Linked DNA regions of Alligator mississippiensis. The protein of the gene in region 1 interacts with the protein of each later gene in a biochemical or structural test. Links are inferred from orthologs where the notes say so. Each region holds a gene or a part of one and is shown on either strand. Other genes may lie near its edges.

Evidence for each region.
Region 2: of the proteins of PTPN6 (region 1) and SYK, one has a biochemical effect on the other in vitro, tested with the Homo sapiens proteins (2 studies listed by BioGRID). The link is inferred for Alligator mississippiensis from reciprocal best matches to the Homo sapiens genes PTPN6 and SYK.

What each region holds. Positions count from the first base shown.
Region 1 is NC_081824.1:244,116,636-244,124,693, reverse strand, and holds the start of PTPN6 (tyrosine-protein phosphatase non-receptor type 6), read right to left. Parts: upstream 3,014-8,058; 5' UTR 28-3,013; intron 1-27. Other genes in the region: C1H12orf57 (protein C10), read right to left, coding at 5,515-5,663, 5,800-5,976, 6,070-6,183, 6,431-6,575; ATN1 (atrophin-1), read right to left, coding at 8,058-8,058. UniProt on the Homo sapiens protein: Tyrosine phosphatase enzyme that plays important roles in controlling immune signaling pathways and fundamental physiological processes such as hematopoiesis.
Region 2 is NC_081826.1:212,111,986-212,120,102, forward strand, and holds the start of SYK (tyrosine-protein kinase SYK), read left to right. Parts: upstream 1-4,899; 5' UTR 4,900-5,063; intron 5,064-8,117. UniProt on the Homo sapiens protein: Non-receptor tyrosine kinase which mediates signal transduction downstream of a variety of transmembrane receptors including classical immunoreceptors like the B-cell receptor (BCR).

The DNA.
Region 1 (8,058 bases):
ATAGGAAAGGCTTGGTGATCAACTTACCTCACCAGCCTTGGATGTCCTCAGAGGATAGATCACTGTTGTTGGGGGTTGGGCAGCAGGAGGAGGAGACCCAAGATCAGGCAGCCAGGTGCAGGTGCAGGGCAAGAGGCTTCCTTTCCACCATCTGTAAATCACTTCCTGATTTGTAGTTAATGAATAATTGAGGTGCATGGGGAGCAGGGGAAGAACAGGCTTAAACTGAGGGGGCAGGTGAAGAGGTGAGGAACTATCTGCTCTTCCTGCTTCCTCTCCACTAAGTACTTCCTTGACTATTTGTAACTGAAAGGCAGAGAAAACAAAAGTGAATAGCTCTGATCACCTGGGAACTTACCAGACTTCTGACTCTTTTCCCTTGCAGTCCTGGCCTCCACAAACACTGCTCTGCCTATGCCTCCAGTCCTGACCTGCAGCTACCCCTACTGAAAGCTGCTCACGTGCACATTTGAATTCCAGGGTTGAAAAGAGTCCAAAGACATTTGCTGTTTCCTCACTTTAAATGTTGGAAATTAACAACATCAGATGAAATGCAGCAAGGACAAGTGCAAAGTCCTGTGTCCAGGACTGAATCATGGGCAACTGGTGCCACCTTAGGGGCATCGGGGGTGGGGGGAGGAGTGGCCATGGCACTTCATCAAGTGCTCCCAGAAGTGGCTGTGGTGCTTGCAGGGGGGTACTGGCGCTCCCACCTGCCCCCCTGCCTGCCACCTAAGCAGGGAATGTGGCCTGTCAGGGGGTCCACCAGCACTCTCAGGGGGTGCATGTGCACCCCGTGTGCGCCACCACTGGACTGAATAATTGCACATACAGACTGGGGAATGACTGGCTAGACTGCAGTGCTGCTGAGAAGGGCCTGGGGGTTACAGTGGACTATAAACTAAACATGAGCCAACGATGTGCCCTTGTTGCAAAAAAGATCACAGCCTACTAGGTTGTATTAACAGGAGTGTTATTTGCAAATCAAGGGAAGTGATTCCTCTGTTCTGTTTGGTGCTGCTGAAGCCTTCTAGATCTGGGCCCAATGCTTCAAGAAAGATGTGAACAGTTTAGAAAGAGTCCAGCACAGCAGGGGTGATGCGTAGGGGGTGCACACAGATGCACATGCACCCCCTGAGCATGGTGGTGCACCCCCTACAAAAAGGTGCAGCTCTCCGTGATTCCCTCTGGCCGCCACCAACACTGCCAGCGGCGTCTGCGGGTGGTTGCCGACCCCTGGTCAGCACTCGCCACCTCCCCCGCCACCACTGCCGACAGCACCAGCAGCGTCTGCAGGAGCTCTCCCGCTAACCACTGCCATGCTCCTGCTGCTGCCACTGTGCCCCCCCGCGCCACGGGGAGCATGCATTGTTCATGCAGCACAGGATAAGAAAAATGAGCAAGGGCCTGAGAAACATGACTTAGGGTCTTGTTACACAGTAATTTGGGCAGCTCCTGGAGCTCTTAACCCCTGGGTTGTCCCCACATGTTAACATCTTAAAGCGGTTTTAAGCACGGTTTTGTGGCTCAAAGTTATGCCACTCCAGGGCAGGATTATTTCTGATCCACACTACCCAGCTCCTAGAATCACAGAATCATAGAAGGTGAAGGTTGAAAGGGACCTCAGAAGGTCACCTAGTCCAACTCCCTGCTCAAAGCAGGACCAGCCCCAACTAGATCATCCCAGCCAAGGCTTTGTCTAGCCGGGTTTTAAAACTCCCAAGGATGGAGCTTCCACCACCTCTCTGGGTAACCTGTTCCAGTGTTTTACTACCCTCCTAGTGAGAAAATTCTTCCTAATATCTAACCTAAACTTCCCTTGCTGTGATCATTGTTGTGACTTGAGACTGTTGCTCCTTGTTCTGTTATCTGCCACTGCTGAGAACAGCCTAGCTCTATCCTCTTTTGAACCTACTTCAGGGAGTTGAAGACTGCTATTAAGTCTCCTCTAAACTAAATAAGTCAAGTTCCCCCAGTCTTTCCTCATAAGTCATGTGCCCAGCCCCCTCACCATTTTTGTTTCTATCTGCTGCACTCTCTCCAATTTGTCCTTTCTGTAGTGGAGGGCCCAAAACTGGACACAGTACTCCAGCTGTAGCCTCACCAGTGCTGAATAGAGGGGAATAAACACTTCCCTTGACCTACTGGCAACACTCCTACCAATGCAGCCCAGTATGTCGTTAGCCTTCTTGGCAACAAGGGCACACTGCTGGCTCATATTCAACTTATTGTCCACTGTAACCCTCAGGTCCTTTTCTGCAGAGCTGCTGCCCAGCCAGTCAGCCCCCAGCCTGCGCTGGTAAATGGGATTGTTCTGTCCAAAGTGCAGGACTTTGCACTTGTCCTTGTTGAACCTCATGGGATTAATGTTCCATGAAGGTGTGGCCACTCTCCACAGATGTGCTGCCCAAACTGAAGTCCTCCAGTATCCCAGGATCTCTCATACCCCTACCCATACAGCAGAATTAAAATCCTACCCTGGCTCACAAGCCCTCTTGTGGCAGCTCACAGCTACAGCTCCTAGTCCTGCCCCTGCTCACCAGGCCTCTTGTCACAGCTCCAGGCTAGCACTAATGCTGATCAACCTTTGTGTAGCTCTCACCATAAGGTGTGGCAAGGCCCTTATAAGGGAAGGCTGAAAGAGTTAGGGTTATTTAGTCTGGAGAAGAGAAGACTGTGGGTCAAGGGTGAGGGGAGCGGTTGATAACATTCTTCAAATACCTGACAGGGGATCCTAACAAGGCTGGCAATGGACTTTTTTATGGCTGTAGGGGACAGAACTAGGAGCAAAGACCTCAAACTGCAGCAGAGGAAATTTAGGTTGAAGATGAGGAGGAACTTTCTGACTATGAGGGTAGTCAAGCATTGTAACAGGCTACCTAGAGAAACGGTGGAATCTTCATCCCTGGAAATTTTTAAGAGGTTAGATGGACACTTGGCTGGGATGTTTAGTCAAGGATGATCCTGCCTTGAGCAAGGGGCTGGATTAGATGACCTCATGAGATTCCCTTCCAGCCCTACTTTCTAATATGATTCTAATGTGCCAGCAATGCAGAAGAATAAGATTACTAGGTGTAAACGATTGCAACTCAAAGTACTTTTCTGTCCCTCATTTCAGGCTATTGCCACACATTAGCCATTACACCAGGGCGTGATCTACACATTAAGTATAGCAGCAGCTACAAAACAACAGGGTCCCCTAGTGTAGATACAGCTTTGCTTGCAGGAGTTTTTCTGGCCACCAGGACTAAGCGCCTCTGCACCCAGCCTTCTGTCTCTATGCCAGGGCTATGTCAGCAGGGTAACATTGGCTACAGCATAAGATCTTCTGCTACCCTGTAGGCATCAGTGCACTGCCAGTGGACCCCTGTAACATGGGCAAAGGTTACAAGAATAAATTGAGTTCAGGAAGCTTCTAACCAACACATTTGAACTAACATAGTTTTAGATCTTTTAACCTTTTAAAGAAACATAACAGCACAGAGCTGTCCAGTTGATGGCCCATGAGAGGTTAACATGCCTCCCACGCTGGTGGGACTCTCTGGGGCAGGGCAGCATGGCAAGGAGTATGCTGCCTGCTGGATTCTGGCAAGGGGGAATTCCCTGCTGTGGGGCAGAGGTTCTTGCCCATGTGGTGGCAGCAGCAGAGCAGCTGGCACAGCAGTAGCTGGAGACTTGCATTGCTCATGTGGCAGGGGTCCCAAGGTGCCCACATGGCCCCCAGGGCATGCTGCCTGTATGGTGTGCAGCCCAGGGCCTGCAAACTGTGTGGCATGCAGGCCCTGGCTGCTGTGTATCTGGCCAGCCCAAACTTGATTGGGCCCTGGTGTAATGGCTGTGTGGCAATAGCCTGAAATGAGGGTCAGAAAAGTACTTTGAGTTGCAGTCATTTACACCTAGTAATCTTATGCTTCTGCATTGCTGGCACATTAGAATCTTATTAGAAAGTAGGGCTGGAAGGGAATCTCATGAGGTCAAACCTGGGCGGACGAGAATCTGATGGTGTTCAACGCCGATAAATGCAAGGTTCTCCACCTTGGGAAGAAAAATCCGTAGCATCCTTATAGGCTCGGCAGTGCTATGTTAGCTAACACTATGCAAGAAAGAGACTTGGGGGTCATCATTGACCACAAGATGAACATGAGCCTGCAGTGCGATGCTGCAGCTAGTAAAGCGACCAAAACACTGGCTTGCATCCATAGATGCTTCTCAAGCAAATCCCAGGATGTCATTCTCCCCTTGTACTCGGCCTTAGTGAGACCACAGCTGGAGTACTGCGTCCAGTTTTGGGCTCCACAATTCAAAAAGGATGTGGAGAAGCTTGAGAGAGTCCAGAGAACAGCCACGCGCATGATCGGAGGTCAGGGAAGCAGACCCTACGATGACAGGCTGAGAGCCCTGGGGCTCTTTAGCCTGGAAAAGCGCAGGCTCAGAGGTGATCTGATGGCCACCTATAAGTTTATCAGGAGTGACCACCAGTATGTGGGGGAACGTTTGTTCACCAGAGCGCCCCAAGGGATGACGACTAGGTTGAACGGTCATAAACTACTACAAGACCGTTTCAGGCTGGACATAAGGAAGAATTTCTTTACTGTCCAAGCCCCCAAGGTCTGGAACAGCCTGCCACCGGAGGTGGTTCAAACGCCTACATTGAACACCTTCAAGAGCAAACTGGATGCTTATCTTGCTGGGATCCTATGACCCCAGCTGACTTCCTGCCCTTTGGGCAGGGGGCTGGACTCAATGATCTTCCGAGGTCCCTTCCAGCCCTAATGTCTATGAAATCTATGAAACTTAACACATTTAGAACCACATTCAACGCTTGCGTTCAGCAATAGTGTCACTTTACTGTGTTAAGTGCTGTCTGCACTAGCATGTTAAATAGCTAAGTGATTATTAATTTGCTTCTAACACAACCTAGCCTATACAGAGCTGCAGTGCCCACACCTTCCCTTTGACAGGCTGGGGTTAGGCGCGTAGCCCTGAACTTCTTGTTCCACCCCTGAATGGTTTCACTTGGCTCTACCCTCAGAACAAAAGCATTCCTTGTGCTGCAGCCATAGCACTCTATTTCAAAAGTCACCAGGTACCAAGTCTTTACTCCCAGGCAGAAGGGTTGTACCGTGGGGGGGAGCTGTCTCCTCTCCATTTCCTGGGACCAGGCTCAGGCAGAATGCCCTCACAGCAGAGCTACAGCAGGGCAGGACTGCTGAGGGAGGAGCAGGAAAGCAAACCTCCCTTCTGCCTCATCATCACCCATTGGAAACAGCTTAGGACACAGCCCTGGGACTCAATGGGACCACTCTTAAAACAACTTTTATTCACAAGCAGAAGCAGCACACTGTCTCATGCAGGCACGTAAAACACAACGCCGCAGACACACAAAGAAGCTTCTGAGCTTCCGAGGCACTGGGGGCTCCTGGGGCCCCACCTGCAGCTGGACAACCGCAGCCCGACCGGGATGCCAGGAGCCAGTGCCCTCATACTCAGCTGGAGCTGGACAGGGTCCCAGCTTCATGAGGCTGCCACCCCACCTGTCCCCGACCCATGCGGAGGCAGCGTCATGGGTGGCAGGAACATGGCTTTCAGCTTCCCAGACATGCTGGCGATCTCTGGGTCCTGAGATTCATAGGATTTTATCAGCCGGGCAAACTTCAGGACCCCTGAGAGACAGAGAGAGAAGGGGGTGGGGGGAGACAGAGCTGAGGGGCCAGCCCTCTGCCAGGCCGCCATTCACCAGGCCCAGCGGCAGCCGGGTGCCCCTGGTGACGCGGGATAGCGGGCAGGGGCTGACCCCACCTTCCCCGTCGCTGCTGAAGCCGTAGGCTTTGATGACGTCCTGCTGGATCTGCGTGGCCACGGGCAGCAGGAACTGCAGCATCTTGCCCATGTCGTTGCAGGCATTGTCCCGCGCCTCATCCAGGCGCTGCGCGTTCTCCGGGGCGCCGAACGCCTTGAGCACCTCGGCCAGCACCACTGCGGGCAGGGCACAGGCGTGGGGGGCGGCTCGGCACCCAGCAGCCCCGCCGCCACTGCCCGCCCCCGAGCGAGGGGACGGGAGATGCTCACCTTTGGCTTGCTCCGCGCTCAGCGGCGCCGCCGAGGCCGGGCCCGAGGCCGCCATGGGGCGCTGCAGGCTGGACATGCAGGCAGGGCGCGGGCTCCTCAGGCACCTACCGCCGCCTGCAGGGGCGGAGGAGCCACTGCCAGGTCGGAGCACAGCGCTCGGATCAATAAAGCCCCCGCGCCGTAACCCCTCCCAAAATCCACTACCTTTGTACGCGCTGGGGCCCCTCGCTACGCGAGGGACTGCTGGACAAATACTAAAAGAGCTGAAATCACTGCCCAGTGTGTACAACCCCCCGAACCCCCCACCCAGCCCGAGTATCGCCCAGGTTAGGGTGACTCCGGCTGTGAGTCGCAAACCCACTCCGCAGGTTCGCGGAAGGCTCCTGAAACGCAGCCGCCGCTCCCGGGAAATGTCCGCAGCGCCGCGGCGGCTCCCCGCGCCCCCCCGCCTCGCTGGCGCCGCGGCGCTCGGCTTCCAGCCCGCGCTCGGGCGAGTTCGCCGGCATGCAAATGAGCCGCCTTCCCATTGGAGCAGGGGCCCGAAGCTCCACCCCCGGCCTGTCCGCGCCCTGCAGGTTTCGGCAGCACTGGCTGGAGGCCCCGCCCCCTGCCCCTACCTCCCAGTCCAGGTGCGGCGGTGCACGCTCCTGGCCTCTCTGGCCTGGCCTTGCAGCTGGGGACTCACGCGCCCCCATCAATAGCACGGGCCTAGTGCTGGGGAGGGCGCCACAGGGGGCTCTGTGCCTCATCACCAGCTCACTCCACCTCCTGCCAGGCAGGGCAGAGGGGGCACTGCCCTTCATGCCTCTGCGTGCCTCGCTTGCTGCCAGGGCCCCCAGGCACTTAAATGAAAACCACAGAGTCCGTTTCTGGAAGGGTTTCATTTTGTTTGTAAGAGCTTCATATATATATTTTATATATAAATTATTAGAATGTGTGTTCGGGGTTCTGAGCGCATGGAGGACTTCATTGGGGTGTTTCCCCAGAGCTCTCTTTCTTGTTTTTCCTTTTCTCTTTTTAATGTTTTAAGTAAATATATATATATATATTTATATATATATATATATATGCATGTGTGTGTGCGGATATATATAATGTGTGGGTGTGTATGTGTGTACATATATATACACACACACGTACATATACACACACACACTCACACAGACAGAGATATACAACTGTGAGATCAGACACGCACGTGGGGACTGGGAAGTCACACATTGCTACGCAAAACTGCCACGTCTAATGGGATGTGCATGGATTAAAAGTACATCAACTGGAATAAGAGAGGGGAAAGAGGCAGCCACCATCTTGAACACAGTCCCATGGTGCTTTGCACCTGCTGGCCATACCTGTTCCCTTGAGGTGGGGGAAAACACAGCCACCATCTTGAAAACAGTCCCATGGTGCTTTGCACCTCATAGCCAGGCCAGTCCCTCAGGGGTTGGGTGGGAAAGTAGAAGTGGCCATTTGAAGAGTTCCAATAGTGCTTTGCGTCTCTTTGCCATGTTCATTCCCAAAGTGGGTTCGGAGAGTAGGAAGCCACATTGGCCAGTTTCCAAAAGTCCCATGATGCTTTGCATCTCTAGGCCATATCTCACATCCAAAATAGCAGGGTGGGAGGCATTTTGAAAAAAAGTTCACATCAGGTTCTGAGGGTCTGCCTCTTGGCCATATCTGCTCATGCAGGGAAGCAGAAAAGGCTACCACCACGTATAGAAAGGTCCCATCATACTTCATACTTTTGTTTTTTTTATTAGGTACAACCACTCTCTCAAAAGAGATTCTGGAACAGCAGCCATTTTGAATCCCCACAATTCCTTGTACTTCAAGCTCTCTGTCACATTAACTTTGTCTTTCTCAGTGCCCCTCTTGAAGTCATGCCATGGTTCCAAACATTTTTTAGGCATCTCACTCCCTCCCCACTTCTCTCCCCTCCTCTCTGCTCCCAGGATGGTCATCTTGTTCTTTCCATCCTTCCTTCTCTTT
Region 2 (8,117 bases), on another chromosome or scaffold:
TAACTTCAGGGTAGACACGCCTGGCTGAAGTATTGAAGGCACAGTCAAGACTTTCAAGAAAGCTAGCATTTGTTTTATGAATCTAAGTGAGAGATGTACACTTAAGTGTAATGGCTGCAGGACTAATGCCACTCTATTTTGACTATGTTTTGCCTTGTATGCTTTCTGTATTTATTCAACTTTAAATATAATCTAGCAATTCAGTGCACGTTCCAATACTTATCTTTATTTTAATTTTTGCTTTGATCTTAAACTGAATAACTAAGCACTAGCCTAGCATGTCGGTAAAGCTTTGCATTTCTCTTTAACCGGAGAAAAATGTGTGTTGTGCTCTTTGGGATGACGTGCCACATCATCTGCACCACCCACCCTTTTCTAAATCCTGGATCCATCTGTTCTGCGTGAGTCTGTGTGTGTATGTTTATGTGTTTATGTATCTGTCTGTGTGTGTTTTTCTGCGTATGTGTACATGTCTGTGTGTGTTTATGTTTGCATATGTGTGTGTGTATGTTTGTGTATATGTATGTGTGTCTGTGTGTGTATTTTGTGTGCTTCAGGGGTATGGGTTATAGCCGTGTTGGTCTAAGGGTAGTTTCCTCAGCCTGATGGAAGGGTGTTTGTACATGAAAGCTTGCAAAGAAGATTTTTTTCCAACCATTTTAGTTGGTCTAATAAAAGATATTGGATTTACCCATAGAACCTCGTCTGTATTTTGTGTGCACGTTTACATTTGTATGTGTGTTTGTGTGGATTCATAGATTCATAGATTCATAGATGTTAGGGTCGGAAGGGACCTCAATAGATCATCGAGTCCGACCCCCTGCATAAGCAGGAAAGAGTGTTGGGTCTAGATGACCTCAGCTAGATGCTCATCTAACCTCCTCTTGAAGACCCCCAGGGTAGGGGAGAGCACCACCTCCCTTGGGAGCCCATTCCTCCCTGCCCACTCTAACTGTGAAGAAGTTCTTCCTAATGTGCAATCTAAATCTGCTCTCTGCTAGCTTGTGGCCATTATTTCTTGTAACCCCCGGGGGTGCCTTGGTGAATAAATACTCACTAATTCCCTTCTGTGCCCCCGTGATGAACTTACAGGCAGCCACAAGGTCGCCTCTCAACCTTCTCTTGCGGAGGCTGAAAGGATCCAGTTTCTCTAGTCTCTCCTCGTAGGGCTTGGTCTGCAGGCCCTTAACCATATGAGTGGCCCTTCTCTGGACCCTCTCCAGGTTATCCGCATCCCTCTTGAATTGCGGCTCCCAGAATTGCACGCAGTACTCCAACTGCGGTCTGACCAGCGCCCGATAGAGGGGAAGTATCACCTCCTTGGACCTATTCGTCATGCATCTGCTGATGCACGATAAAGTGCCATTGGCTTTTCTGATGGCTTTGTCACACTGCCGACTCATGTTCATCTTGGAGTCCACTAGGACTCCAAGATCCCTTTCCACTTCCGTGCTACTCAGGAGGTCATTCCCTAGGCTGTAGGTGTGCTGGACATTCTTCCTCCCTATGTGCAGCACTTTGCATTTCTCCTTGTTGAACTGCATTCTGTTGTTTTCTGCCCACTTGTCCAACCTGTCCAGATCTGCTTGCAGCTGTTCCCACATCTCCCCATAGCTTTGTGTCATCTGCAAACTTGGACAGAGTACATTTCACTCCCTCATCCAAGTCACTGATGAAGACATTAAAGAGTATCAGTCCAAGGACCGAGCCCTGCGGGATCCCACTGCCCACACCCTTCCAGGTCGAAACCGACCCATCCACCACGACTCTCTGGGTGCGACCCTCCAGCCAATTCGCCACCCACCCGACTGTGTAGTCATCCAAGTCACAGCCTCTTAACTTGTTCACCAGTATGGGGTGGGATACCGTATCGAAGGCCTTCCTGAAGTCTAAGTATACGACATCCACCGCTCCTCCTGTGTCCAGGCGTTTCGTAACCTGGTCATAAAAAGAAACTAGATTGGTCAGGCATGATCTGCCTGCCACGAACCCATGCTGATTTCCCCTCAGCATAATTTGTCCTGCCGGGCTCTCACAAATGTGAGCCTTGATAATTTTTTCAAAGACTTTGCCAAGGATGGAGGTGAGACTGACAGGTCTATAGTTGCCCGGGTCCTCCTTCCTCCCCTTTTTGAAAATGGGGACCACGTTGGCCCTTTTCCAGTCCTGCGGGACTTGGCCCGTGCGCCACGAGCTTTCAAATATTCCCGCCAGTGGCTCTGCAATGATGTCGGCCAGTGCCTTCAGCACCCTTGGATGGAGCTCATCCGGGCCTGCTGACTTAAAGGCATCCAGTTCTTCCAAATGACTCTGTACCATTTCAGGGTCTACGCATGGAAGTCTGGCGCCTTGCTGTTGCCTCTCTACAACCCCAGTGAGAGACTTGTCGTGCCCCTCACTTAGGAACACTGAGGCAAAGAACTCGCTGAGGAGTTCAGCTTTGTCCCCCCTGTCCGTCACCAATTGTTTCTGCCCATTTAGCAGGGGTCCTATTCCTCCCTGGGCCTTCCTTTTACTACCTATATATCTAAAAAACAATTTCTTGTTGTCTTTTACTTGGGATGCCATCCTCAGCTCCATGGTAGCTTTGGCCCGTCTAACTGCCTCCCTACAAGCGCAAGCAGAGGAGGTATATTCGTCTTTGGTGATCTCTCCCTGTTTCCACTTTTTATGTGCTCCCCTTTTGTCCCTTAGGCTGCCCTGGATTTCTCTGGTCAGCCAGGGAAGCCTCCTGGCCCCTTTCCCTCTTTTGCCTCGCTCGGGGATCGTCTTGCTTTGTGCCCGAAGGATCGTTTCCTTAAGGCACAGCCACCCTTCTTGGGCTCCCATCTCTTCAAATCTCCTACTCTGCAGTGCGTCCTTGACTAATCGCCTGAGTTCATTGAAATCAGCTTTCCTAAAGTCTAGCACTTTCACCCTACTAGTTACCTTACCCACTCGCCGTCTTATGGTGAATTCTATTATTAGGTGATCACTGTCCCCCAGATGGCTACCGATCTGGAGGTCCGCTATCATGTCATCTCCCGTTGCCAATACCAGATCCAGTATGGCATTCCCCCTAGTGGGACCATGTACCTCCTGAGTCAGGTGGAGGTCCTATACACAGGTTAGAAACCTGCGTGAGCGGTGGGACTTTGCTGTCTGTGACTCCCAGCAGATGTCAGGGTAGTTTAGGTCCCCCATGACTACTGCCTCTTTAGCTTTTATGGTCTCCGAGATTTGCCTCAGGAGCCCTGAATCTCTTTCTTCCCCTTGATGTGGGGGTCTGTAGCAGACCCCTACCACCAAATCTCTTTCTCCTTGCCCCCCATGTAGCCTAACCCACAATCCTTCTACTTCCTCAACCTCGGATTCTGTCTTGATGAGGGTCGATGTATATTGCTCATTGACATAGAGCACAACCCCTCCCCCTTTCTTCCCCACCCTGTCCTTTCTGTACAATCTATAGCCCTCAATATGTACCGCCCAGTCATGGGATGAATCCCACCAGGTTTCTGTTAGCCCTACTAAGTCAAGGTGTTTAGTGCAAGCAGGAGCACTAATTCATCCTGCTTGTTTCCCATGCTCCTAGCATTAGTATATAGGCACTTGAGCCCTGCGACTGGTGCCTTTGCTGCCCCCCCGCTCCGAGTCCCAAGGGGCCCTTTGATTCTTACCTTCTCGTTTCTTACCTGTGCCGTAGTGCTGGCCTCCCCATGGTTTTCAGGTTCCCAATGCTCTCTTTCTTCAGGCTGGGCTGTCCTTGTGGATGTATGCCTCTGTGTGTATGCTTATGTGTATATGTCTCTGTGTGTGTATGTATGTCTGTGTGTGCATTTATGTGTGTGTACATGTGTCTGTGGGTATTTATGTTTGTGTGTGTATGTGTGTATGTATGTGTACAGGCAGTCCTCAGACTTACGACATAATTGGTTCCTGAAAACTGCATCCTAAGTCGAAATGTTGTAACTCGGAACCGTTTTTCCCAAAGGAAACATTATAAACAGGGATTCGTTCCTCAGCCAAGGCCTGATACTCTGTTTTCACTAAAAATACCCCAAAATTTTGTACTTGATCAATTATAGATGAGTGATATAGCTACATTAATGTATTTATATTGTAAATAGCAATCAGATTGATTTGGAAGGACTTCTTTGAGGTGACTTTGCTGGACTTTTTGAAGGGTTCTTGGCTGGAGTCTTCTCAGGAGTCTTGGCTGCAGGTTTTTCTGGAGTCTTGTCTGCTTTCCTAAAGAAAGTGTCCAAGGAAGTTTGGACAGATGTTCTCCAGGGAGATGGATGACGCAGCAAACTGGTTCACTGATGTGGCATCGAGTTGGATCAAGCATTGTAAAGTCAAAACTGACATCAGAAAATTGAAACAGGGTGTCAATTTATAAATGTTGTCAGTGCAAAACGTGGTAACTCGAAACATTGCAAGTCGAGGACTGCCTGTATGTCTGTGTGTATATGTGCGGTGTGTGAGTGTATATGTAGATGTGTGTATGTATATGCATGTGTGTATGTATGTGCATGCGTGTGTATATGTGTCTGTATGTGTTTGTGTATGCATGTGTGTTTGTGTATGTAGATGTGTGTATGTATGCGTTTCTGTGTACGCATGTGTGTGGTTGTATGTGTACATGCGTGTATGTATGTGTACGCATGTGTGTAAGTATGTGTGTGTCCAATGTGCGTGTTTGTGTGTATGTATGTGCATGTGTTTGTGTGTATATGGGTATGTTATTGTGCATATGTGTGCGTCTGTGTGCGCACAGGTCCGTGCGCGAGTCCCTGGCACGCTTCTCCCGGCGCGCCCAGGACGCAGGCAGCACCCCGGGGTGCCGCCACCCCCGGCGCCGCAGCCCCGCGCCCTTCCGCAGGCCGGGGCCTGGCCGGACCGTGCCCAGGAGGAAGTGTGCGAGCCGCCGCCCGCCTGGAGGAAGTGGCCGCGGCTGCGAAACTAGGAAGCCGCGGCTCCCGGCGCCCTGAGCGCGGGGTCGGGACGCAGCGGCAGGATCCTCGCCGAGCCCCGCGCCCGCCTCAGCCGAGCCCGCGTCGGACACTCCCGCGCCCCGCGCCCAGGTAAGAGCGGGGCAGGGGGAAGCAGGGAGCGCCAACCCCCAGAGCATTGTGGAGGGCCGGGCGGGCTCCCCGCTGCACCCAAACCCATGCCGGCGGCTCGGGGGAGACCTGGGCTCCTCCAGACAGCCGGGCCGGTTCATTCGTGCCGCTCCCCGCCCCGCCCAGGGCTCCTTGAGGGGACTCTGCCCAGCCCTCCCCATGTCCTGAGGTGTGCGTCGCTTGTCTAGAGGGAAAGGCATCTAAAACTCTTGAGAAAGAGGTGATATGTTTTATTAGACTAACTAGAGAGCTGCAAAAACAATTTTTTTTTCATGCTCTGGCCACACACCAGGGACCCCCAATGGCAACATTGCAGCCGCTCTCTCTTTCTCCCTCCCCCAAGCCTCTCAGAGGGTTCAGCGCCCTTCGGAGGCACCATTTCAGTGCCTGTCGCCCACCAAACTTGCCAAAGTCCCTCCATGATGCCGCCAATTCTGACCCTCCGCCACAGATACACCTCCAAGTCACCTACCCTCCAAGTCTGCCTTCTGCCCAGCTTCAGGCTTCCTACCCTCTCAACAAGCCTTGCACCCCATTATTTTTCAGGTAACATTTGAGGGGAAAAAATGTTGGGAAAATAATAGGGAGAGAATCCACAGGGATCCTTCGACCAAATCAAAACCGTACGGTGATTCAGCGAACGCAGTAGTGACATTGGGACAAGCGAACAGGCCAAAACCACATGAGATGAAGTCCATGGAGAAGGAGATGCAGGTTAGGAAGGCACACGCAAAAACAGAAAATGCACCCATGGGTTTGAAAACAAAACACTTTAAAAAGCTGTTTTGAAACTCTGGGCAATGAAATGAGCATGGAAGCAAATGAGTGCATCTGTCCTCTCTGCAAACAAAACAAGGTTCAGAGCTTGCAGGGGTGAGGGGTGATTGCAATGTGCCGGTTAGCTCCCTTGAAGCCTAACAAAAGGTCATTAGTTACATTTTGTTTCTTTTTCTTTCTTTTTTTTTAGCAAACTTCCTTAATTTTTTTCCAAGAAAGACTAGAATAGTGTTAGAGGTGACGAAACACATTAGATACAAGAGGCCTAAATCACTATACATACATATATATATATATATATATATATATATATAAACAAATTTTGGTAACACCTTTGATAGAGAGCCTTATGCTGACATCAAACAAGGAGTGACACCAGGAAGAGCACACACCAACTGCTGCAGCTTCCTTAGCCTGACGAAGGGTTTTTGAACCCGAAAGCTTGCTTAATAACTATTCTCCAACCATTTGGGTCGGTCTAATAAAAGATATCAAATTCACCCAAGGAACCTTGTCTGCCTATGTCCTTAGACCAACAAGGCTACAACCCGAACCCCTGCAATGTTATTTCAGGACACTTGAGCATGGTGACATCATCTTTTGGGCCCAGCCTAGCAGTGCTTCTTAGACACAGCTTGTACTGACTCCACTGGGAATAAGATCAAGCCCAATGTCATATTCCTTAATTAGGCTACTTATAGGTAGATTTTTTTTTAAAGAAAAAAACTACCACTTGTAAGATTATATTTTTCCCCTCATTCAAGGAGCCATTTACATGATCATTTGTAATTGGGGTTAGTAATCTTTATTTTGGGCATTCTCCCACAAGCCATACACAGAACACTTGTATGTTCTGGACCTTTGGGGCCTGATTTTGTGATGTGGCCATTAGAGCAGACCCCATAGTCAGCTCAAGCTCTGAAATAAAGGGCCAGAAACTGTTGCAGCCCAAAAGCACTTTTAGCGGGTACTTTTACAGGAACTGTAACAACTTCTCCTTCTCAGCCCTTTGTTGAGCTTGAGACCGATAAAGACAGAAATAAGGAAGTTTGAGACATCAGTATATTTATATTTTGACGGTTTTCTTCGGGGGGGAGAGGGGAGTGGCTTGGAGAGAAGCCTTATGAATATTTAAAACAACTTGGAATAAAAGATTTAAAACCAGTTTAGGTTTATCAAAATTGCTGAACTAATTAAAATAAATATCTACCGCAGTTTTGAACTGAGTTGGAAGAACTTCTAAAATCCCAAATTGTACTTCATAAACCTTTCAGGCTTTGTTTTTCCTAAAATAGTAGTAATGTCCATGAAATCAAAGAGGTAAATAGATATTCTCTGTTACCTTTCTATTTTCTAGCCGTTGTGGTTCTGTTGATGTAGCTGAATTAAAAATTTGATCTAATGTCTTGAAAAACCAACTGAAAGTTATTTTGGGGAACAGCTAGCAGGTGTTTTTAAAAAGTTACTCTGGTCCCAAAATAACTTTTTTTTTTAAGACTGGTATGTAAAGTTTCACTTGAAAAAAGTTTAAACGTGTAAATTGAATAACACGAGAGTTACATGGACAGTTTTTAATCCCATCTTTTTTTCTTTCGATTTGCTATATAAGTGGTCCAAGCTTTCAAAGTCTGTGGCCAAACTGTCGTTGAAGTCAAAGGGATCATGCTCTTCATTTTTAAAGGGGAGATTACATTTCCTTTTCTTTCCTAACACTCGCACAATATCCTGTACTGAGACTAGGACCTTTGCAGAGGTATGAAGCAATCAGCAGGGAGGAACATACTGGATTTCATTTATGTTCTAAAATGTTATACTTTTATTTCATTTGTCTTCATTTGCTTTAAAGTCCTGATTCAAAATCTGAAGACATTGGAAAGACTAACATTGATTTCATGAGGATTTGGTTTGCAAAGGACAGGTGGACTGTCTAGCTCAAATTCTCCCTTGCCTTTCACTTATTCAAGCCACAATAATTGACAGCTTTGGCCCTTTGTATATAAATAAACAGTAATGGAAATTTAGACCCATTTCTTTTCTCTCCTCTAATGAAACATGGCAAAGAACAGCTCTTTATGGTGAAGGATTTTACTGAAACCCTTTATGCACTAAAATGCTGTGCAACTTTGGGGCCAAAGCAGCCACACTTCTCAAGTTTGAGTCTTAAATGCCTTTCTTATCAGGTCAAGATTTACTGGGTCTTTATTCAATTTAGGCCAGATTCTACAATCCCCTATTTAT